Linked DNA regions of Styela clava. The protein of the gene in region 2 purifies or fractionates together with the protein of the main gene of each other region. This does not show direct contact. Links are inferred from orthologs where the notes say so. Each region holds a gene or a part of one and is shown on either strand. Other genes may lie near its edges. The genes, in order: transcription initiation factor TFIID subunit 6-like and transcription initiation factor TFIID subunit 1-like.

Evidence for each region.
Region 1: the proteins of transcription initiation factor TFIID subunit 1-like (region 2) and transcription initiation factor TFIID subunit 6-like purify together in Drosophila melanogaster (affinity purification with western blotting; 3 studies listed by BioGRID, with this or other methods). This does not show direct contact. The link is inferred for Styela clava from reciprocal best matches to the Drosophila melanogaster genes Taf1 and Taf6.

Annotation. Positions count from the first base shown.
Region 1 is NC_135256.1:4,774,348-4,787,370, forward strand, and holds the start of transcription initiation factor TFIID subunit 6-like, read right to left. Parts: upstream 5,555-13,023; 5' UTR 5,524-5,554; coding exon 5,341-5,523; intron 4,518-5,340; coding exon 4,446-4,517; intron 3,884-4,445; coding exon 3,715-3,883; intron 3,070-3,714; coding exon 2,876-3,069; intron 2,112-2,875; coding exon 1,980-2,111; intron 1,001-1,979; coding exon 821-1,000; intron 1-820. UniProt on the Drosophila melanogaster protein: TFIID is a multimeric protein complex that plays a central role in mediating promoter responses to various activators and repressors.
Region 2 is NC_135257.1:9,177,394-9,190,677, reverse strand, and holds the start of transcription initiation factor TFIID subunit 1-like, read right to left. Parts: upstream 5,362-13,284; 5' UTR 5,179-5,361; intron 1,052-5,178; coding exon of another isoform or gene 941-1,051; exon of another isoform or gene 755-940; intron 1-754. Other genes in the region: rho-associated protein kinase 2-like, read left to right, coding at 941-1,051, 5,422-5,503, 5,753-5,913, 6,427-6,680, 9,220-9,304, 9,805-9,918, 10,368-10,537, 11,080-11,171 and 1 more. UniProt on the Drosophila melanogaster protein: TFIID is a multimeric protein complex that plays a central role in mediating promoter responses to various activators and repressors. Largest component and core scaffold of the complex.

The DNA.
Region 1 (13,023 bases), on a different chromosome or scaffold from region 2:
GCACAGCATGATGGTATGGCATTGTGGGTAAAACCACTGAAGCTTTCCTTTTTGGTACAAATACTGCCATGCTGGTCTACAGAGGCCATTCAGAACTTCGGTATAGCAACATGTGCCTGATGTCTGACTTTATACAGATGGTTAACGGTTACGATTTATTTTAACCGTTAACTGACATCTCAGGTACAAATCATCCTTATACTCTACAATTTTTTTCAAATATGATTACATCATCGCAAATTTATCTCTTGCTGCGTTTAATTCAAAAGAATATTACTGACTGTGTGAGTAAGGACTCAATAAATGTGAAAAATAATGGAAGTACAGATTGTTGATTATGGAAATTTGACGATGATGAATTCAGAATCAGTTTTCGGTCTATTTCAAAAAATATTTTTCTCACGATGACATTGCAAAATCGTACATTTAATGTCATACAACAAGTGTGCAGTTGATGCCGTTTTTCTATATTATATCTCGAAGTAGAATTTGCATATCGAACACTGAAACTTTGTGACATAATGACGTTTATCAAACGGAATCTGGTTTTCTAAAATACTTCCACACGCCCGAACCACGCTGCCTATTCTTGCAGCAGAGCAATCATGTAACTATCTCGATTCGTGAATAAATTAGAGCGATACCGAGATAAGAACACGCAAAATTACTTTATAAGCATTGTGACGTAACGAGCTGAATTATAAATTAATAAGTCAAACGTCACGCGGCGGTTAACCAGTTAATTTTACCCGGTTAACGGTTAAAGTGTTTTCCCTGAAATTCCCAACCAGTTTAGTAAATTCAACTTAATCTCACTCACATATTTCTCCAAGTTGAGAGTAGAATTGTCCATCAAAGCTTTGACCATTCTCATAAGATAAATAAGTAGAGCAAGATTGTTCTGAACGACATTGACACGAACTCCTTCTGAGACAAATGTACTGAATCGAGGAAGCATCTGTGATAATCCAGGATCTGTTGCAAGAGACTGAAGTGCCTCCTGATAAAAGAAATAAGATAACAGTTATAGCTTAATGCCACGATTCCCCAATCGAAGAGGAATTTCTCCTACGGAGGAAACACAAGAAATACTTATAACAGCTATAACAGCTATAGCAGTGGTTCCCAACCTTTTATGACTCATGGTCCAACGGGATACGTGTTGCAGGAACAGCTCAGATTTGTTATTTCGCAACAACATATAATCGAACACTTTACGGCACATTTTTATGTGAACAGATTGTTGTGGTATTTTGGAAGTGATGCTATTTATATTGTCGCAATCGCAGATTAAATTGATCACAATTGAATCAATCAGATAAAATTATATGATCTTTATATATATTTTTGAACCCCTTCCAGATGGTTTTGGCATGGCCCCTGTTTATCATTCCAGGGATAATTATAGTGTTATTTTAATTAGTAGATCCCAAATCCCAATATTTTCGAACAATCCATGCTCAACAAAGCGAAAACACCCTGTGAAATAACCTTATCAAGCAATAAAACTAGGAAAAATGGGGAGTTTTCCCGTGAAGTGGAAAGTGAAATCAATTTGGTGCCTGGCTTTGTGCCAAATCCCATCCTATCTTACAGCATGTCTAGCTTCACCAGAGCCTAGGCTCGCTGTAAAGGAAACCCATCTTATTATTTCTTTCAGCACTCACGAAACCCCCTGTTTAATATTCCAGTGGTATTTATATTGTTATTATGATTGGTAGATTCCAAATCACTTTACGTTCAAACAATCAATGCTCAACGAAGTGAAAACACCCTGTGAAATAACCTCATCAAGCAATGAAACTATGGGAAGAATGGGAAGTTTTCTTGTGAAGAGTAAAATCAGTTATGCGCCCAACATGGTGGCCCCTTCCAACTGCTCTGTGGGCCCCGTGATCAACCCCAACCTATCAGTGGTTGCTCGTCCACATGGTTCCAGATTTGAAGCCTAAGATAGCCCAAGTAATATGATAACTTACAGCACGTCTAGCTTCACTTGATCCCACAGCTGCTTCAGTAATTTCTTTGTAATAAAGTTGTTGCTCGACAGAGAGTTCGTGAGTAAATCGAGGCTTCAGGTCAACCTTTGTTGCTTCAGTATTTCCTCGTTTCTGCAACAGTTTTAAAAAAAATTCGGTTCGATAGATAAAAAAAATCGGAAGTGAGATTCTTGGCTAAAACCTAAGGTTATCTAGTGAAGACATCTAGGACTGGGATATTAGGAAATGTATGACATACTAGTGCAGTGGTTCTCAAACTTATTAAACCGTGCCCCTCTTTAAAATTTGTCTAGTCTCGTGCCCTATCACAAAAATACCTAGCTAGCAATAAGTTAAAAATAACAGATAGTAGGGAAAAAGTATATTAAAAGTCTGTTAAAAATAAGTGGACAAAACGTAAAATTTGGCGGGCAAGATCAAACCTAGCAAATATTTTTATTCTCAATTAGCTTCACGCCCCCTCAAAAAATTGTCTACGCCCCAACCAACGTTTGAGAACCACTGTATTAGTGTAAAAGTTTTATCAATTGAAACCATAAGTGAATCTACCACTTTATTTTGTAAAAGTTTCTCTTCAACAACAGTAAAAAATTATAATAAAAAAGATCTTATATTTTTTTTACCATCACAGAAATTTTTACGACCCTTATGAATCAACCCTGTAAAATGTTTAGTCTTGGACTATTTTAATCAAGCGGGGTGGGGTGGGGAATTTCCACTATTTAAATAACTATAAAAATAGAATACGATTCAGTATTCTGCATTTGATTTAAGTCTTTTGAAATAGTATAATATTCTACATTGCCCATATGCTGCCACCGCAAAAGTTTTGATGTTTCAAGTTTCAAGTAACTCTGAAAAAAGTATAGTCTAACCTTGTCCTTAGTACTAGTTTCATGTGTTGCATTCTTCAAGGGATTATTTGCAGGGACGATGGAACTTTTCAAAGGAGCAGAACCAGGTAGAGGTTTAGATTCTGTTTTATTTAAGACATCTAGTAAAGTGGTTTGCTCTGGAGCTGGGTTCTCTGGTATGCTTGGTTGGACTCCATCGATTGCTAGCCAGTGAGCTGTAAATACAGGGAATGGTGATGAGTGAAAATAATCAAACTGAAAATATTTCACTCTACAATAAATTGTAGCTCTTTATGTATCAAAGGATGATTGGTTTTTGTCCAGGGTCCTGTGGGCAGTGAATATTAAATAATGAAACTCAAAAATATATCTATTACCATGAAATATCATTCCCATCACTATCAGAGTATGCAAATATCTCACCAAAACCAGTACTGTGAAGTGCAGGACTGTGCTATTAAAAGTGCTGGCAGTTGTAAAAATTGATAGAAAGTAATAACCAAACTAAAATATTCCAGTTCTACAAAAAATCACAACTTCCTATGTAATAGTGGGTGTTTGTCTAAGCCTTGTTTGAAGAGAATTATCACAAATATAGTTTGGATGGTCATAATATATTACACCAGTGCATAAAAATCCATCTGTAGAAAATCAATGTGATGGATAAATTTGTCAAAATTAGTAGTAAAACAACAAGTACCAACGACTTGAGAAAAAATTTGAAAGCATATATGCAATAGCATTCTAGGAAACACCTCCACCTCCCCCAAGTAATTTAAAAGTTAATCAAGAAGATTTCTAGTCCAAATAACAACAATTTAGCAAAACGTTTTCTAGTGTCCATGCAGGAAGACATTTACCTTTCACGGCGATATCATATGGAACTCGTGGCAGAGGGTTATTAATCAGTTCGGTAAGATCAATTTCTTTGTCCTCGACAAAATGTAGCTCTCTACCGCCCCCACTGGCAAATCTGAATGGTATATAATCTTCTGCGACGAACCCGTATAATGGTTCAATGTTTTTTGACTGAAAATAAAAAATATGTGAGAGTCTTTGTTCCAATTGAAGTATGAACGCAGTTATTCTGGCATATAAACAATCTGTCGGAGTAAAACAAAAGTAGCATCTGCCACATTTTTCAGAAATAGATTTTTTTGTATAAACCATGGGCCATTTCCGGGACTCTGTTCCAATTCAAAGCTACACTTGCTTCAGTTTAAATTTTAGTATGTTATGTTAATTTTTGGTTTGACTGTTAGAACTAAACTATTGCGAAACACCTTCAAACCCTTGCATTTATTTTTATTTATTAAGGTTTGAGCTAATAAAAAGGGAGGATACAAAGTTTTGTGTTACACTTTTCATAATAACACTTAAAATAAGTTTTCAATGTTATTTCATCCTCCCACAGATAATATTTGCGAACACGCTTGAAGCCTTAACTTTTTATATACGAATGTAAGTGAGCACATAAGGCGAACCTATCTTCCTGATTACTTGGAAATTATTTTGGACATGGATTTTTTGAACAACTTGAAAGTATGTATTTCTAACTTATTAACTCAAGATACTAACGACTTAAGCATACCCTCAAAGCTGAATCAACATCTCTACACGTCAGAATCTTTGATTTTCTGTGTGTTGAAAATTTCAATGATTCCTATGAATGAAGTAAAAGTAAATATTAGTGAACATTGCTTAGCACAGTATCTTAAAATTCAGTAGGGCACAGTTCTACAATCCCAAGATTTCCTAACATTTGGTTCAATGAAACAAACACTCTATATGTCTCTGAAACGAGGGGGTATGGCACAGGAGTGTATGTATCAGATTGTGCAATGCTTGTCCCGATAATAATCAAACATCACCAAAAATCCATTTTTTCTGCTAAAAACTCTCGAATGCTACAGTAAAGTTTTTATTCCTTTTGTGAACCAGATTATTTGTTTTTCCGGGGAATCGAATTGTGACATTTTTAGATTGCGCCACCTTTTAGTTTATTTCACAAAGTTGGTTTGCCGATTTATGCCGATATGGAGAAAAAAACTGTCTCGTTAAGGAATGGTTTGCACTCACTGATATAATTGATATGTGGGAGCTATTCTTGGAATCTGAGAACAGTGTCATACTGAGATTGGTCATCTGGTTTAAATTCAATTTCATAAGATGTTAATTGTGAATGCCAGAAGATTCTCTCAAAGTTAGGTCATGCTTCATGGGTGAAGGAAACAGAGACTGGCTAAATATTGATTCATATAGAGAACTCCATTATAGACAAATAGATAGGAAAAAACTTCACGGAAGGAAATCATGGAAAAGACTAAATTTAAAATATAAAAAATTCATAGACCTAATTTTATAAGTAGTCAAAACAAAGTGATAATGAAAATCTATCTAATGGTAATTTTTCTCAAAGTGTTTTAGTTAAAAATTAGAAAACGCTGAACAATGAAATTAATATGAGAAGAATTGTAATCACTAACTTGTATAATTTCTTTCAATCTATAAGTTGCCTCTTCTGCCAAGCATGACAAAGTGTCTTCAGTTAATCGAGCGACACCAGCTGATTCGCTAACGGTTTTGACAGATTCTGATGAAAACGCAGAAAATCTGTCAGGTCGAACTTTGCTTTCTTTTTTCACACTTCGTTTACTTGTATCAGCCATTTAAAATAATGTAAATACTCTAATACAGTAATATGCTGTTAAAAATAACAGTGGATAATATACAGTTCAGCAGTTAGTCTATACGCTAATACTGTGATGCTAGTACCGGTATGCAGGTATGTCTGTACGTATATTGCTAAAACATTTTTCTTCGTAAACCTGGGCCATTCTGCTATGGCAGTACAGCAGTATGGCAATGATGTTGGAATGTTACGGTACGCCAGGACTACTCAACTATTTTCCCCAAAGGTCCGTTTAGAAAACTTCAGAATTATTGGGGTCCGGACATTACAGAATATTTTTTTCATTAAATAAACGAACGTCTAATGATGGCTCGTAAATATATCTGTATATACACAAATGTCGCATATTGGTACCAGTACAACAAACTGTAGACTATAGCTAGGCTACCTATGTACCAGTATTTAAATTGTATCAAATCCTCTAAAACTACCAAACAATGCTTATGCTGCCAAAATATACAAGCAGACACGGTCCAAATTGTCGAAAGGGCCGGATTCGGACCGCCAGTTGAGTACGGTACCGATATTGATAACCTGCTCACGATACCGTTTTAACGCCATTGAACAGCTTACTTTAATTCATATTTGTCCTTATCCAAATTCAAACACCTGTAAAGGATACAAGTACCGAACCTGGAAGCAGGAAAGTTACCGGTATGTTGGATCCGCGTCATGGCCGTAGCGTTTGTTCATGCTTTCAGACTTTCAACTTGTGTTACTTGTGTACTGAATACTAATTTTTTGTTAACCTGTCCTATCGTATAGGCCTGTAAGTTTCCCCATCGCCGCTTTATTTTAATTAAACTAAAACACCGGGTTCTAAAAACGCTTCAAATTCACTCAAAAAATATAAAGTGATTATCTGACCTCTAACCTCCGAACCTGCTAATTACGGCTGCTGCGCCCTCTATGGATGTTTGCACGAGCATCGTTTTCCCTGTTTATTTTCGTAACAATGACCAATCAACAATAAGCCAACAATGACGTCAAAATTGCAATCTGTAAAGACGCTCCGACACTTCTGTCGTTCAGACAGATATTTGAGCATTGTTGTAAACATTGCATCGTTTTGCGTGTTATTTGTCAGTTTTTAGTTGTTTTTCCAAAAATCAGTTGTAAATCAAAAAAGTTGATCGTCATTCTGTCTTCCGAAAAGCTTTAGTCTAATTGCAACAAAGGAATTTGGTTTTAAAAACGCTACGATGGACTAGACTAAAATTAATTATTAGTATCTGTGAGCTGTGCACGTGAATATTTATTTTCAATATACAAGCCAGTTAGCAAGCGACAACCAGCAGAAACACTTTCAGAATAGGCATTGAAAATCTTGAAATGGTAAATAATAGAAAGAATCTTTCTGGGGTCAAAGGTTGGGAAAACATCCTTATTTATTTGGGCATGTTACAATCGTTGGGAGCGAGTAACCGTGACATGGTACGAACCTGGCAAACTGGCAAAACTGATCTGATGAAGTAGGAATTTTAGGCAATTTTAAGTTCAAGTAATATTACAGTTGCACTGGCCATCTTTCCGGCAATGTAATTCCACCCTAACTCGCCAACAGAATATATTTTTATATCTTTAATCACCATTAGGACACGCTGAGAAAGCATTCGTATCTACTTAAGAATTATTGTTTCAATTTTTGAATAAATTTGTAAAAAGCGTGCTAATAAAAAGACAAAAATAATAAAAAAAGGAAAATAAAATCATAAACGAAATAAAATCGATATATATGTGTTAATGATTGTGAATTTTATATTATTTACAAGCCGTTCCTTCGTCTAACCCTACATAGAAAGTTGTAAAAATGCTCAAGAGGGATTAGCCTACGGAGGAAATATAATGTGCTAAAATCAATCTTTTTGTGCAATGTATCAAGCACTAAAGTTAGTAAACGTAATTTTATTCACAAATCATTTAACAGAAGTGTTGAATTATATATTACACAATTTCAAGTTGTTATTAAAATCACAACGATGGATGCAAGAATACTCGTAGCCCCGTGTAAGGCAAACCTTAACGCAGTTATCTCTTATCTCTTTCAGAAAAACAGTTTTATGAGTAAGAAAAGTAACGAATACAAAATGTAAGTATTGCCATATTAAAGTTCGGTTATATTATTGTTCTACTTTTTTCGTTCTTCCTTTTTTGTGTAATTGATTTTTATCAATTCATTCGAAAACCTGAAAATTGCAACAGCACTTCCTGTTACTCGCTGAAGAACAAATCGATTAACCAGTGCAACGCTTGCGAATTGATGAAATGCGTCAACTATACATTTCCTGCGTTGATTTCCTAATAAAAAGCCGTTGAAAGCCTCATCTGTGTCAACTGCTAGGTTTCGTTAATAACTAGCGAGTATACTGTTAACAATTTCATGTCATATACTATTATTTCGTTAATACATTATTTACATATTTTGAACCGAATTTACTTATGTCACACACATGCACAAATTTTAGCTCCTAATGTATTTCCATCCAAATTTTTGTTTATTTTTTATCAACGCAAATGTGATAGCCTTGCGATTTTAAAAACTCCAGTTACGACCAGTAGCCTCATTTGACGAGATTTAATTAAGAAGACGAACCTAAATTTGCAAGTGTTTGGTGTTTCCAGTTTCTTCGAATTTCCTGTCGTATTGTGCATGTTGTCTTCCTGAATTTCACGATGTGTTTCCAGATTTCCGTTTTCGCGTTTTGTATCTCTGGTGTGCGGTGCGAAGATTTCATCCTGTTGTTATTTCAAAGAACATTTCCAGGCGAACGATTGCAAAATATCAGTCACGCAAGGACAGAGGAAAGTGATAGAAGCAAAGGTGTTTCAAATTTTAGGAGTCTTCCAATTATTGTATACCTCAGTAGTTTTTATGGTCCGGTGAAAACAACCCAGTTTGCACAAAAATACAGTGTTAACGTAGTGAGAATGTGATTTAAGAAAAGATTTACATAAAAACAGAACTCAAGTTTATCTGAGTATTAGGTTTGTTGTTATCGTTTGGATATCTGATTAGTTATTTTCATCTTTTTCAAATTTTCGTCCATTTTTATTGGCGCAAATGTGATAGCCTGCAATATCAAAATCTTCAGTTACGACCTTGTGCGATATTTAAAATGACGAAACTGAATTTGCAAATGTTTGGTGTTTCAAGTTTCCTTCATTTCCCTGTCGTATTTTCCTGAATTTTACGATGTGTTTCTAGACTTTCGCTTAATTTGCGTTTTGTATATCCTTCGTGTGCGGTGCGGAAGTTTCATCATGTTGTTACTTTTAAAGAACATTTCCATTTAAATCCCAGAGTTTGCATTTAAACAATTCTATTTTTAATGTGCTGATGTGATATCCTTGCAATTTCAAAATCTTCAGTTACGTCTAGTAACCCCCGTGTGCGAGATTTTGGAAGACTAACCTAAATTTCCAAATTTCCGCTTTATCCGAGTTTTTTTTATGCTTGGTTTGGGGTGCGGAGTTTCATCATGTTGTTGCTTTTAAAGAACATTCCAGACGAACGATTGCGAGATATTAGTTACGCAAAGAGTGAGGAAAGTGAGAAAAAAAGGTGTTTCAAATTCTATGAGTTTTCCAATTATTGTATGCATCTGTAGTTTTTAGTGTCCGTTATAAACAAAAATACAGTGGTAAAGTAGTAAGAATAGGATTGCAGTAAAGAACAAGGGCACAACTACATAGTAAAAAAAACTCAAGTTTATTTAAGTATAAGATTTGTTGTTATTGCTGGGATATCAGGTATGCTAATTGTTCTTTTTTTTAATTTTTGTTAATTTTTATTGTTCTAGCCTAGCACTATTGTTACGACTGCAGTTACACGAAATCTATATAGTTACACAAAATCTATATTTACGACCGCCTTGTGCGAAATTTGAAACGACGAACCTAAATTTCAATATATTTGCAGGAAAGAGGGAAACTTAGTGAGGGTTACCAGAGTATTAGATTTGGGGTTTCATTGGAATCTCAGATGAGTTATTTGTATTTTTTACGAATTATACCTATTTTCAACAGTATAGCCCAGTTATCAGTTACGTTGGTTCGTCTTCTTCAACTAAATACAAAATTCATGAATACTATGCGTGTTGCTTTACTTGTTTACTACTGCAAATGCAGTAGACTTATAGGATATTGAGTCATTCTGCTGCTTTTGGTTAATAGTTTACGTATTTCAACTTAAAGTCATTCGAACCTTAAAATTAGAAGCACTGCGTCATAACAACAAATAGCCAGCAACAACAGCAAATACTAATTTTATTCCCTAAAGACTATCGCGTTAATTCATTTTCAAACTACGATGTTCAATTGAATCATCCGCTAAAAAATCCGACGGAATTTGACCCTGCAACATTTCCAAAGTAATCAAGGCGCGTCGATCGATCAATCATTAGTTTTGGCGTGATTCCCAGATAATGACACACGGACATGGCATTTTGATACTTCCTTACCTGCACATTGTATAGAGATCGCAGAACCAATGGCGTATCTACGTAAAATGGCGCTCATGGCAAAGTTAAAACATGCGCCCCCTTGATTGTTGACTGGAAAAGTTTTAATGACTGTTGTTGATTAGATACTTGTACGTTATTAATTAAGTAAAAATATGAGTTCAAATTATTTCCAATTTAGAATTATTTCATTGAAACATTTTACGATTTTAGGTTTTCGCGCTTTTAGCGGCTCCATCCAAACGGCGCCCATGGCATGAGCCATGCCTGCCACACCCTAGATATGCCACTGCGCAGAACAGAAACAAACATGCTTGTATTCAATGTTTCGACTGGTAAAATAGCAATAAATGACACTACATTTAAAGATCACGTATATATTCAGTATGTATACACGTTGAGTTGAGTGGGATATGTGTTGATTTGAGTACGCACGACCCCTGGCTCCAAATTACAGTACATTGAATTATTAGGATAGGATGATGTTCGTATACTTATCACAGGAAGAGAAAAGTCGACATTTTAATCTTATGACAAAAACTCCTTCTTGCCCACACCGTACTCGCCGCTAATAACATTATTTCTATAATTAAATTATCTGATCTTTTAACTAGATATTGAAACCTTCGGTGTCGCTGTTCGATAACTAGATTTGTTTCCCCGCGACTTCTCTGCCAAAATAAAATTGTATGATTACTATTTTTTTTAGTTATTGTATGTGTTTGTTTTTCGCTGGTTGAATAAAATAAATTTGCGTTGACTTGTTTACCAGTCTATAATTGGTCCAGATGGAACTTGAATAGCAGAAAAGGCCGTTATTTGACTAGCGAATACGCGAACGCGGTTACGACGACGAGAAAATTCAACGTCTTGATATCTTTTTGCGCCCAATCGGAATTTGAACCTTCAACACTTCCGAAGTAATCAACGGCGCGTCGTTTCATCAATCATTAATTTTGCCCTGATTCCCAGATAATGACACACGGACATGGCATTTTGATACTTCCTAACTTGAACACTGTATGGCGGTCGCAGAGCAGAAACAACACGCTTGTCCTACGTGATTCAATAGTCTTGCTGACACACTAAAACAAATATATTTCTGTAACGTTTCATCAGACCAAGGTCAAACATCCTCAGACATACATATACAGTAGTTCAAGATAGTTCATGGATTTTCTGGCTGTTAAAATAGCAATAAAGGACCACTACATTTAAAGATACCGTGCATATGCAGTATATATATAAACACTTTGTCGAGTTGAGTATGTACGACCTCTGGCCTCAAATTGCAGTCCATTGAAATATTAGGATAATATATTATCCGTGTATTCATCCCAGAAAGAGATAAGTCGACAGAAAAATTCAACCTTTTGGCGAAAACTACCTTAGATTTTAGATATGGTGGTGGCGACATCCAAGCAATTGGTCCAACTTGAACAGTAGAAAAGGCCGTAACCTGACCAGCGACTTTGCGAACACGTGTGTGGCGACGAGAAAATTTGGATTTTTTGTACGAAGCCCCCACCACTAATGCAAAAATATGAAATTTGAGAAAAACATTCCCGCAACATTTTGGGATACAAAATTAGTAGGCTACTTATCCGGTTAGGGTCAGGAATGAGTGGGATTTCCATCGCAATATGCATACCTATAGCCCTAACCCTAACTGGATGATAACTAATTTTGGCGCTCCAGAAGTATGTGCACCAAGATGGCGCAAAACCTGAACCCTAACCTGGTACACATACTATGTTCAGGTTGTGCGCCATCTTAGTGCTTATACTTCTGGAGGTCCCTAATTTTTTAATTTTGAGCGGTGACGCGGGTGTTTTTTTTTCGCGGAGGCTTTGTACAAAAGATCCGAAAATCCTACGTCTCGATATCTTCTTGCGCATAATCATACCCACGGAATTCGAACCTGCAACACTTCCAAAGTAGTCAATGGCGCGTCGTTTGATCAATCAATAATTTTACCCTCATGTCCCAGACAATGATATACAGCGTGACATTTTGATACTTCCTAACCTGAACACCTTTTGAAGTCGGAGAACGGATACGTGCCTGCTGTATTTGATTTTGTTACCTGTTGAAAATAACATTAAATTACACTAAATTTAAACATTGCGTATATATCGAGTTGAGTATGCGTTAAATATGAGTTCAGACGCGAGATCTGTGTAAATATTGTGGCTTGGCGACGTTGCGCATGGTGCTGGGCTTTAGAAGTTACCCTGCGTGAGTTCGCAGGTTCGAATCCTGTGCGGGAGAGGATTGCTGGACTCCTCGTCACCGTAGAGTGGTTCAAGTAATTGCTGGTCGGTTACAGATTTCTTCACCATCAAGTCCGTGCATCTGTAAAAGATTGTTGGCTAACTTACCCATGCCCGACATTGACTGATAATCGAACGAGAGGCTGTGGTCCGCCATATTATTAAGCCGTCACATCGTTTCTCTCTCCCCCGGGATAAATATGTTAATACTATTCTGCTTATATGGTTGCCCAGTAGCTCTTTTCAGTGGAGGGAATTTTAATTGCCATCGCATTTTAGATTTTATACTATTCATCTTATTTCATAGCGTTTATTTAAAGTTTGTCATATTTTATACAATTCTCACCATACTTCCGACGTGTAGCATTTCAAGAAGTTGCGTTTCCTGAATTTGATATTTATTGAATACATTTCCGGCGTGAGAATACAACAAATCGCGTTCCTGAATTTCATTTCACCTAAACTGATTTCCGATTTTCTCAGAGTCGTAACGATAGGAAATTCATTCTCATCTAACGCTTCTGGGAGTCGTGGAAACGTTTGTAAAGTTGTCGGAAGTCGTTCCGTCAGGTTAGTCAATAACAGTCGACAGCTCACGATGCCGCCTAGGACTCTTTTACGCGAAAGAATGTGGATACAAAAAAAAGAGTTGGAAGTTTGCCAAATGAGGATGTTTTATAGTTTAGGACAGGGGTGCGCAACCTTTAATACAGGAGGGACGGATACGAATAACTCGGTGAAACC
Region 2 (13,284 bases):
TTTTATCGTTTTTTTTTCTGTGAGGTAGGCTATCAATATATCAATAATAATATATATTAATAACTTTATTTTAATTTCCCCAAAAAACATACACGGAGCAAATAATGACCAGGATACAGAATAATGGGAAAATCAGGAAAACAGGCAAAATCTCTAGGAAGATTTAAAACATGTGGAAATACATGTGCCTGTTTATCCATATCACACGCATAAACATATTATAAAAAAGATAAAAACACGAACGTGTTATCGTTTGGGCATCTAACTTGTGTAACAAACAAACTGTAGATGCGGTGGGTTTCAATTTATAACTGTTTACGCCGAAACGAAAATGATTGCTGGATTGGGCTGTGTTTATCGTTTCGGATTTATTCACACAAGAAGTTTTAAAGCAAACCAATAATTTAAATAACGTAAACAACTGCGAAGTAGTGTGCTAAAGTAGATAAAAACAGTGTCAAAATAAGTAATAAATAAATCTGAATGTCTTTTTATGGAATTTTTCATTATAAATAGAATCCGACGTAGTGATGTGCTGTAGTGTACGATGTGCAATGTAATTTCATATAAAATGCCTGGTCATTTCTTTATCCTTAGTTCTTTGAGAAGCAAGTATGTAAAATTTGAATGGCAGCTGTAATTTTGATTCAACTTTCGGATATGTGTGTACTCTATTTCCATGATTGGTCCACTCTCATTTTCTGCCTTTTTATCGTCTCTCACGATTGTATCTCCATTATTTTCATAATATACAGATCTCTGATTACTATGATATAATGTAAGTTGCAGCCTCTTGTTCACTTTTTTTTGACGACAATAGGATAGCGTATTGAATTTCAAAAGGAACTTGACATCGTTCTCTTATTAATATGAAAAGATCTCGTTGACGTTCCTTAAAGTTGGATTAACAAAGCCAATAGGCAATTCATTTTTCTTTTTGATGGTGCGAAAAGTCGGCAGTATGGCGAAAGCTGACTTTGATCAGAGGCAAAGGGAGTTGTACAATATGGTGGCAAAAGAAAATTCGAAACTGAGTGTTGATGCACTGTTGGTAAGATAACTAACTGTTTTTGTATTATTTTTATTTTAAATTTGACATATCCTAATTACAGCATTATGTTTGTATTGTATGTTATTATAAAATAAAATGTTTGTGTATTACTTAATAATTGACAGGCAGTTTTCAGTTTTAGTTCGCTTGCCCTTTCTGGTTTCAGAATTTCATAACTGACCTGACCTCATTTCTATTTAATTCAATTTTGAGTTAGAAACCAACGAATCAAAGATTTACATTTTTGTATATGTATGCATCTACAATCCAGCTACAGTTGTCTCATTTCGAAGATAAACCTTTTGTACGATCTGACTCTAACACTAAAACTTGGTGTTCTTATAGTTGTTGCTGTTATTACCATTTTTTCAATGAAATGTTTCAGAAGATAAAATGAATATTTGCGTATAGCATATTTGTGCAGTTATAGGAAAGCATTACACATGTGCATACATAATATTGTTATATTAATAGGGTTAATAATTAATATGTGGCATTTGTAAATTTAAAGAAGTTCTATTCTATGGACCTTTCCCCGAGCATAGACTTCCTTGTTTACTTCGTGACATTGGCCAATCAGCAAGATGCAAAAAGTGACGTAACAATGCCCCCTTTTCGCATCCGCTCAGACACTTTTCTCACTCAGACAGATTTTCAAGCGTGGTTGTAAACATTACCTCGTTTTCGCGTTTCTGAACTTTATTCGTTAGTTTTCAGTTGTGTTTCGGAAACTCAAATATAAATCCGATAATTCAATGATCACTCTGTCTTCCTAGGAGTTTCAATTTAATTGCAGTAATAAAAATTAGTGTAGAAATAGCTGTGATAGACTAGCCTGAAATTCTTTACCGGTACTTTTAAAAAACAGATTGTTGTATGCGATGAATCATAAGGATGGTTTGAAACACATACCCCATTTTACATGCGCCAACTCGCAAAAGCACTCCTAAAATAGCCCCGAAAATTTTGCAATGGTAAAGTATAGGAAGAATTTTCCGGGGGTCAAAGGTCGGGGAAAGGTCCATAGTTAGAGAAAGTGAAGACATATCATAATGTTAAGGTAGTTATGACCGAATCCAGTCTAGACATAATTCATTAATTCGGTCAATTGAAATTTTGTGTGAATAGATGATTTGCATCTCTGTTTCGTGTTTTAATACACACAATACTTTACCTCATGTCACATTTGTACTTTCTTTGATAAGGGATTGGACATAGGGAAAGGATACTTTGAGTTACAAACTTCAGATTTACTTCATGTAAATAAGCATAGAAAACTCACGATTACGTGTCAATTTGGTGAAACAAGCAAACATATCCTGGTACCCACCACAGTCCACAACAGTATTGTTTTTGTGATTTGACCAATAGCAGTATAGGGAATTATGCTCATGCATGCCATTTGAAAAGTTTTGTATTCTCAAATACCCTCCAAGTTTGTTCGCAATGTTAATTGTACTTCTATTCATATTCTCCATTTTATTATTATTTATTGTTACCTCTAGTTGAAAGTTCACAGCAGTTTGTTTTGTACAGAGTTTTACCATTCCTCCTTTGTGCCATAATTAACCAAATAAAACAAAGTTTAATTGGCCTACTTTGCTTTGTAGGAACTTAGCATGAGTAAATGTGGCATGTATTTTTGTAGACTATTATATCAGACTGCATTTTAAGGTTTTGGTATTCAGCACAGAATCAAAAATTTATTGCATTCAAAAACAACATTTCTTTTTAAGTGCTTAATCATTGAAGTTTTGATTGATAATTGATGGGTATTCACACAAAGGCATCTCGAATTGATGCCAATGATTAAGTGTGTGTAGGTTTATAGTATATCATTGAAAATTGATTTAATTTGGAATATGTCAATTTGGGGATTAATGGTTGTTATAATCTTCAACTGAGTGTTCCAATGGAGATTACCTATACAGTGGAATTCTTGATGCATCTGATTTTATAATAATGAGTTTTATGAATTATTTGCTTCTCAATTGACTATGTGTTGATGAGACACTAAAGTACATTGTTTTTTACTGGAAATAAGTAAATTTTCTAAAAAATAAAAGAAATAAATATCATTTAAAATAATGCATAGATTCATTGAAATGATGATATTCATGCTATTTTGCAAATACAGAATCAACAAACATACATATTTTAGCTTTTATTATAACATTCCACAAAAACCAAATAGTAAGAAGTCTGGTATTTGTTGTGTTATATACAATAAAAAGGTACAACACTATATAATGCTATTCTTACCAAGACCATTATGACAGTATTCAGCACGGTTTATCTATTAATATTGGCTGTAGACTTATTTGACTTTCGACTACATGTATTTATTCAAGCATATAAGGCACACAATTACGTCATTGTCCAGCTTTACTACAGGTGATGAATTGAGTGCTCATGTCATACTAAATTATGCAGTGAGATCAAATTCCACAATCAATTCTTTGTAATTTTATGGTGTTAATCAGAATAATTTAGTTGTCCTTAGGCTCAGAACTTGGGCTTTGTTTCAATTTTTATTTCAAATTTTGAACCGTGAATTTTTAAAATGCCAAATGAAAATTTTTGTTATAAATGTAATATGGAGCATGAGATTGAACCCGGTTTTACTACATAGTTGATAGTAATTGGTAACAATATAGCTATAAATCCTAAAATATTTCAAGGCTTTTTCATTTAAAATAAGTGACTCTGCCAAATAAAACTACCTGATACTGGTATACTGATGATTTTTCCAATTATTCAAATGTTAATTTTTGATTGTAAAGTTGTTTCGGTATGCCTTCCTTTGACAAGATATAGCTGATACAACAAGACTTATATTTTTTCAATCCTATTTTGGACTAAATAATTGGTATATGTTTAGCTGGCTATAGGTCATTGAAACTGCATTCTTATATTAATTTCTCTAGTTTAGTTTTATTTTTCAAATTCAATTATTCATATTTCATACAATAAAGTATTAACCTAACATTGGATAATTTGTATTAAATAAAACAGTTTGTATACCAGTTGAACTATGGTAGTTTGTTTGATAGTTCTTCCAGTTTCTTATTCAAAAAAGGAATTATTAGTATTGTTTTCTATTATAAACAAAGTCACAATTATAATGAATTATTAATGCAATGTAAGCCATACATTTTATCTTTCAATTTGATGTTGAGACCTTCTTTATGACTTAGGAACTGCTATGATACTTTACTATGGAGTTTATATAATGACCAACAGTAACATATTCAAAAAAATATTATGGATTATACTTTCTAACCACAAGCTAGGGTTATTATAATATATTTATTGCACTGAAACGACAGTTAGTTTAATACATTTTCTAAATTATTTTAACCTGTTTGTGGTATTCATGCACACCTGTTAACAACTTGTTGTTGTTCAATGGCAATGTAAATATATGCTTGTATCATTATACTTCTTTCTTTTTGAAGTTTGCGTTTTTGCCCGTTTTGAGCCACTTTATTTCAACTTGAGATCCTGTATTTATATATATATATATATATATATATGTTTTAGAAATAGTATTAAAAAACCTTCTAGATCAGAGCTTTTGACACACAAAATAGTAATACTTTACAAACTTATTTTAAAAATAGTATGTTGTGGTTTGTCTTTTTTTTTACATGGTTCTACTATAAATACCAGTAATAATTATCTGATTAAGCCTTAAAATAAACAACCACTTTTCTGAATATAGGCTACATAACGTGTCAATCCTATCAAAAATGAAATCGCTGAAAATTTCAGTATAAATGTTACAGAATTTGTCGATAATTTTCTGGTTTTAGCTTAAATGATCCATGGTTTGGCATGGTATCAAATCAGTATTATGCTTGTAGTTGAAACTTACAATATATTATCTTACTATATCTTAATATATTATACTTCTGTGCTATAGTTTTTTCTTGTGGGATTGTCTTTCTCTTTATATAAGTGAATTTGCATAGTTTTCTGTGGAGTTTGCTGTTTCTCATTGTTGAAGGTCTGATTAACTGGTATTTTACACATAACCAAATTCTTGTAAATACAAAATTCACATAAGAAGCATAACCAACTGGGTTTAATTCAGTTTTAACTATTGAAAGTAATCATCACACAACCTTAATACAACCAAATTCTCCAATCAGCTAGATGGAAAAACAACATTATACACAATGCAAAAAATGGTATGCACTATTGCCTATTGGTAGTAAATATTGTGCAACAACACGATAATCCAAGTCAAACTATTTTAGGCAAAATGCCATATGACAAATTCACTAACGTAGTCAACTGGATATTTTATCTCCTATACTGATAATTGTATTTGATATTCATTCTAATTTTTCAATTTGTTTTCATAGGATGGCATCGTTGCATTGGTTACGGATCTAGACACTCCTGCTTTGAGAAGGAACAAGAATGTGGAAAATTTTTTAAATAGATGTAAGTATTTAATTCAACTAATCATTTAGTTATGAGCATTAGATCCGTTTGGAAAACTTTGATCCAACTTTGACAAAATAAATGCTGAATAAAAAGACTATCCTTTTCAGCAATCTGTTATGAATATATTTTCCATAAATGTCAAGTTCTGTATAAATGAGTCAAGTGTCTTATTCTCATTTGTATTGCTTTGCGGATGAGAGTACAAAGTGAGAGTCATTTCAACAAAAAAAACTTTTATATTTCCAGACGCACATCCTGTTAAGAAAATTTATGAAATAAGGATGAGAGCTTCTGATTTCACAGTAGTTAAGACAATCGGTCGAGGAGCTTTTGGTGAAGTTCAACTCGTTCGTTACAAACCCACTTCTAAAGTTTATGCCATGAAGTTATTGAGCAAATTTGAAATGGTGAGTTGTGTCATTGGTGAAGTTATTCAAGAACGCATGTCGATAATGGAGTTTGTTAAATTATACCCTTGTTTGTTTTTGATCAGTCTTATTCATGGATAATTATAAAACACTTGAAAAATATGGAAACAATTGTGTTTAAATACAATGTATATCCTACTATTGCTTTGCGGTATATTTATTTCTTAATAATAAAATCTTCATTTGGTAAAATATGTTTATTCAAGTGACATGAACCTTACCACATAAAATATTGGCATTGTTATCATGGAAAGTACTTGGCAACACAATTGTTATGACTGCTCTGATTATCATGTTGAACCACACATTCTAATTTTAGCTTACTATATTTGAGAAAGTTTCGCAGTTTTATCGGCATTTCGTGTCCAAATTGTGTGTGAATTGTGTTTGTGTGTAAATATGACATTCTTCCACTTTGGTTTTATCTAAATTTATGGACAATCATCTATATAATTTTTTGTTTCGGTATATTCCTTTTATAATGCTCCATAGATCAAAAGATCAGAATCTGCTTTCTTCTGGGAGGAAAGAGACATTATGGCACACGCCAACACGGATTGGATCGTGCGTTTGCAGTATTCATTTCAAGACAATAAATACCTCTATATGGTAATGGAGTTTATGCCTGGTGGAGATCTGGTCAATCTCATGTCTAATTATGATGTGCCTGAACAATGGGCAAAATTTTACACAGCTGAAGTCGTTCTTGCCCTTGAATCAATACACAATATGGGATTCATTCACAGGCAAGTTATCTAACTAATTAAGCTTTTTTTTACTGACGACTCATAACGGAGAGAGTCTATATTCATATTGTCTATTTCATATTCACTTGACTAACACAGACAGTCCCAGACTCGTAATAGAACTAAAATAAGGAAAATCGGAATAAAATTATTAAGGCATAGCCTTAATCTGGTACACACACTACAGGAGTACCCGTTTTTTTCTGATATTTCCGCATAAAAACTTTACGAATTGATTCTTGTATATATATATTTTATATATATTAGACTTGTGCAACACCTATCCCCCTTTAATACCACACATCAGAATGTTTTCATACATTTTGCTGTATTTAATTCACCTGATGTGATATGGCATATGGGAGTATGTTTTTTTTAAATAACAAACTTGAATATACTTTACTGAAGGAAAATGTTATCAAATATTCTGCAACTTCATCGATAGTAACATTCTCCACTATTCCAAATTGTTCTTAGGGTGGTATTGGTGAAATTTAGCCAACTCTGGTATTTCTAATACAACATTTTTGTGATTTGAATAGGGAATATCACATCCTATGGATAAACTGTCTTTAAAGTTCGGTCTATAACTTTTTTTTAAATGTTCTATTTGTATTTTATATTACCAGTATTTATTTTTAGTCATCAGGTTAGCAGTGATATAACAAATCATTTTTGTTTCATGCAATCTCATTTTTGAATCATATGGTAAAGGAGGGACTCTGAATATAATATACTATAATCTGTTATTTATATTTAATACCATTCATAATGTACCGGTAGTTCAATTGTGTAATATATAATTTTTTAAAAACATTCGTTATTGAAGACCAGTCGACAATCACAAACATTGTAGTTTATTATAAAATTTATTATTTGTTTTAGTCACTTGAGTACATTTATTAAAACAAAATTGTACAATAGATATTGCCAGTTGAAAAACTGGCCAGTTTTCTGTTTCATTCAATATTGATGACTTCTCCACTGTTGTGGCTAACATAAAGCTGCTGATTATTTAGTCCATCGTGCCCGATATTGTATATTGCATGTATAATAAATAGTCTTGTTACAACGTTGTGTGTCCTATGGGAAGTTTATACGTATTACTGCATGACGTAATCCAACTTTCAAATCATTATGATATTTTATTGCGATATGGAACCATAATATTGGTAATTAAAAGTATTGGGTATGGTGGAAATTGCCTATTAATAGATCTAAGGCTCATATTAAGGGTTCTTTGACAGTTGTTTCCATAAAACCCAATTCCGGGCATTTATTTGGTGATGTAGAGAGTTCATGAAGCCTGTATTAAAATAGGTAAAAGAACTTTAACATGCTCCGTGCAAATGATGGTCGGCATAAATAAAGGTGTATAAAATAGTAAGTTAAAAAACTAAATAACTGATTGAAATAAAACAAACCTGGTTAATAAGATATATTAAGAACTGACTTCATACCACTATTTTGAAATTGTAACCGGAATTTATGAACACTCATCATAGCTTGGCTTGGCACATTGCCAATAATAATCAATCTTTAAGTCAAATCATGCTTCATAAATATAATGTTCTGGATTGTGTCAGGAAATATATAATTCAAAAACGTGAAATAGTTTTTGTATATACTTATTAGGATAACTTAAATTACGAAATTAATTAGTTTGATTGTATTCAGACTGCATTATGATATTATCAATAATATTTTATTTATAATTTGTTCTTCTTAATGTGATGTGAATTTACTAATTAGCAACTATCTGCTTTTCTGATAGAAATTGTCAATATTCAACCGTGAACTACAAATAGACTCATACCAGATGTGTTGTTCAATATTGTCCTATTGTTAGTTATATATCTTGTGATATAATTACATTCCAAGTACAATTCAAGTTATTTCATGCTTGTACTTACGGTGGCTAAATTAAAATAATTCAACTTTTCTAAATACACTTCGTACTAATATTTTGGAATATAAAGTATTGTGACATTCTAAATTGGGTCATTTTCAAGAGAGGCATAAATCAATAAAAATTTATAGTAAATGAACGATGAATTTAGTTTTGTTAAAAATAAATTAATCGTTGTTATTATTGATTTTCTGTTTTTGCCTTGCCTGATTTAAGTGAAATCTATTTTTTTTATCTTGATCATCAGATAGTACTTGATTAAAATGACAAATAAAACTGACCTAAATTTTCTTATATTACTAAATTGAATGCATACAATCTTGAATGTATTCGATTTATTGTGGATTATAATGCTTATTAGTTTATGGAACTTGTCCTATTATCTTGTTTCATTGTCAGCAAATTGATCACCAATAAGCAAAAATTTTACAAATTTAAAATATTTGTGTTTGTGGTTGGTATGCTGTCATCCATACAATTATTTCAGTAAATGAAGGAAAAACAGTTTTTATTGTTAATTGGATTGCATGGTAACTTTTTATATTTGTCTATAAATCTAGCACTCAATATGTATCCTTAATTAACCACGTTTCTTTTGGTAATAAATTTACTTACTTTTTTATTCAACAGGGATGTAAAACCTGACAATATGTTACTGGATGCTCAAGGACATTTAAAACTTGCTGATTTTGGAACTTGCATGAGTATGGACAAGGTAAATGAATAATTACTATTCAAACACCTGCAGTAAATTGAATTCTTTATTGGAATTAGGGATATTTGTGTCTGCATAGTTGTTTATTTTAAAATTTTGTTCAGAATATCAATTTTGAATATTCTTAATGAATCGAATTTGGCAAAAAATGAGTGATATGAACTTTGATTTTCCAGCAAAAGTATAATTCAAATATTTTTTTATTTGGAATTTTTTACTAATTTTATTATAACTAAATTCTTGAAACATCTTCACTAACAGCTATTGTCAATTTTTATGCAAGTAATTGTTTGTGAAACTACCCCAGTCTTACTTCAAATGTTTCCTAGTGAAAAGGTGAACTAACCTGTAATGATGAAATAATTGAATCATAAATTTCAATGATTTCAGTCTCTCAATGATCATTATTTATTTTATCTTTATTCATCAAATATCTTCAGTTGAAATATTAGAGTACATCAATATTGTGTTATGACTAGTCCCTTATTTTTGTTTTCTAGGAGGGCATGGTGCGTTCTGACACAGCCGTTGGCACTCCTGATTATATTTCACCTGAAGTATTGCAATCACAAGGTGGTAAAGGTTACTATGGTCGTGAATGCGATTGGTGGTCGGTAAGTGATTGCACGATTGACCCGGATTCTTGTTTTTCAATAAATTATTTATATGTATCTTCTAAGAATCTGCTTTTCATTTTTTTATCAGTGTATAATCATAGTTTTTTTTAAACGATAAAATGGATCGTATAGCATTTAGAATATTACAGAATACAAATGAAAAAAATTCGCCAGTATAGGGTATACACAACATAAAACAAAATGCAGCATACTTCACATACAATCTAAGCATTTATTTTATATATTTGACATGTTTATACACCATTCACCCAGAAGAACAAATTTTGTAATATTGTACCTTAAAATATTATTTTATTAATCTAGCTCAATGTACCCAATTGCCATATTGCTCCATTATTTTGTCCATGATCAATTATTATTTTTGGGGACATTTAAAATACTTGTTCTGATATATGAAACTAATCTCGCTTTTCTTATTTGGTTAGGTTGGGGTTTTTCTTTATGAAATGCTTGTTGGTGACACCCCATTCTATGCCGATTCTCTTGTCGGAACTTACGGGAAAATTATGGATCACAAAAATTCATTGAGTTTTCCTGATGACGTCAGCATGTCGGATCATGCTAAGAAATTAATATGCGGATTTCTCACAGACAGGTACATGAATTGGTTTTGTAAACCCCAAAATTATATTTTTATTCACGGTATATACTGTTGCTTGAATGGGATTCTTTAATGTGAATAGTTGATATAATCCTCAATAGGTTTATTAGGTATGTATGCAAATTTAGTGCATTGTGCAGCAAAGTATGGATATAAGTCATATTTTATTTCATCAATTTCATCGAACGAACACCGTTTTGCTGTGGCTAGGATTCTACCTTATACGAAATATTAGGACAGTTTATCATAACTTATACTGTAATTTTATTGTACTTTTTACAGTACTTTTAATTGTTTCAGAGTAGATATGCACGATCCCAGTGGCATAATGGCTTTATCATCAGTATTGTTAAGTGTTATATTATTAAGAATTCAATTTATTTTGCCGAATGAGAACAGAAACACTCTAAGTCATAAATTGAAGTTTTGGAGAAATCTTATTAAACAGTGCGCTCTACTCTCACCCGGTACTATATTTTGTTTTTCTTATATTTCTAATTTATGTATGATTACCATTGAGCTTATTTTTTTCACAGTGACCGTCGACTTGGTAGAAAAGGTGTTGAAGATATCAAAAAACATCCCTTTTTTAAGAACGATCAATGGACATTTGATAATATACGCCAAGGTATATTTACTAAAATTTTTCAATGCAAAAACAGTTGTCATTATCTACACACATTTTGATGCATTCTATATAAATTTTTTAATACTTAAATTGTTTATGTTAATTCCTGTATCCTGGTTTAGTTATATTCTGGTTGACGAAGCATAAAAATTGATATTGTTTTTGATATTTTTCGTATTCCACCTTTTTTTACTTTGGTTATTCTTTGGTGCAATGCCAATCGCTGAATATGTTCTTTATGTGTTTTAGTTTGGATTCTGGCTTTGTTTTCTTTGTTTTGCCGGACAATTTTCAGGTGTATTTAAATACCAATTTGTTTATTAATGAAGGAATTTCTATCGGTTCAATTTCAACAACATTTCTCTTTTTCCTATATTGTTTTGATATTAATTAAATGATTATGGATCACAGAAATTGAATCCTCTCTCACTGCGCTGAATGCTGATGCAATTATTATCTGTTATTTTTGTATAAGCATCTTAGAGCCTGTGATTTTTGCCTTTTACTGCCCTATGATTTGTGTGTGAATTGATTGCCATATTTGTTTGCAACCCTGGACCAAAATATTAAGTTCATGAATTTTTGCCGTTGACCAGCTCAAATTATGATTATAAAACGCTCTCATTCGCAAATTTTCTTGTTTACTTTTTTGATTCATTGCCACATTTTTGCTACGTTTTCGTTTCGCTCTGATGCACATCTGTGATTGATGATGAATACTGGGCTGCTACTTCGCAATGGGTTTTCCACTATATTGCACTTTATGCAGGGATGGGATTTTGCCTTAATATCATATTCCTATGGTGTGGCACAAGGAAATTTACATGAGGCACTAGATTATAGTGTTGCTTAAGGCATAGATGGCTTAATTAAGCTGGCGAACAGCTGAAATTATAGTGATCATTGAAATGTGTTTCTTTATGTAATCAATGATCACCAATAAATTGAATTTCAATTTAAAATAATAAGGAATATGGTTCGAATAATCTCAACTATCAACAAAACATGGTCATATAAAATATACTTTGAAACTGATCATTTAACATGCACATACTATCAAACAATGCATCGATTGAAAATTAAACAGTTTTTATTTTTTTGTCCTCATCTATGCCAAAGATTCCAACCAACTTAATACACACTTACCGAAAGGCAAAAGCACTGTGATTTCACTGAAAGGCAAAAACTCACTGGTGTTATTGATACATGAATGAAAAATTTCTATTAGCCCTAGTAGTTAGGTTCAGAAGATCTATATAGATCTACTGTACACTGTAATAATGACATTTACTTATGTTTGAATCATTTATGATGTGTATCAAGTGCATGTGTCATAAATCATGATTCCATGCGACATGGCGGCAAACTGCATGAAAAAACAATAACTTTGATTATTAAAATGTCTATATATACTCTTTCTCAATAGTATTTTTTATTTCAACTATGATATAAACTCAATTATTTTAAAAACCCTGCCTGCTTGCAAGTTCATAGAATATATTGTGTTTCAAGTCAACATATACTTCGTCAAACGTGAAATTACATACCTGTATGTACTCTTTTTTTTAATGCAGCATTATTTTAACCAAATTCAATGTCTTTACCCTTGTATTCTGAAGTAGCATAATTGTTAAAATATACGTTTAACAATCGTTTTAGGTCTTTATTAATTTGTAATGCTTAATTCTATAAATTTTCTGTGGCTTTCGGTACCTTAGTGGTCGGCCATTTAACTACGCTCAAGAGTTCTTCGAACGAATGCGTGTGGCCTTGCTTCCAGCAGATTTTTTTTAACAAAAGTTATTATTCTTTCAGCTGTTGCCCCAGTAGTACCTGAGTTGAGCGGAGATACAGATACAAGAAATTTTGATGATATTGATGATGACAAAGGAGATGAAGAAATTTTCCCAACACCAAAAGCTTTCACTGGAAATCATCTCCCGTTTATTGGATTCACTTATTCTGCCGATACCATGTAAGTTAGAGAGATAAATAAAAAATAGCAAATTAAGAAATAATCACTCATTGCAAGATGATTGACATTAAAATAGGGGCGCTCCAGAAGTATGTGTACCAATATGGAGGTAACTAATTTTGTTCGCCTACGTTACAT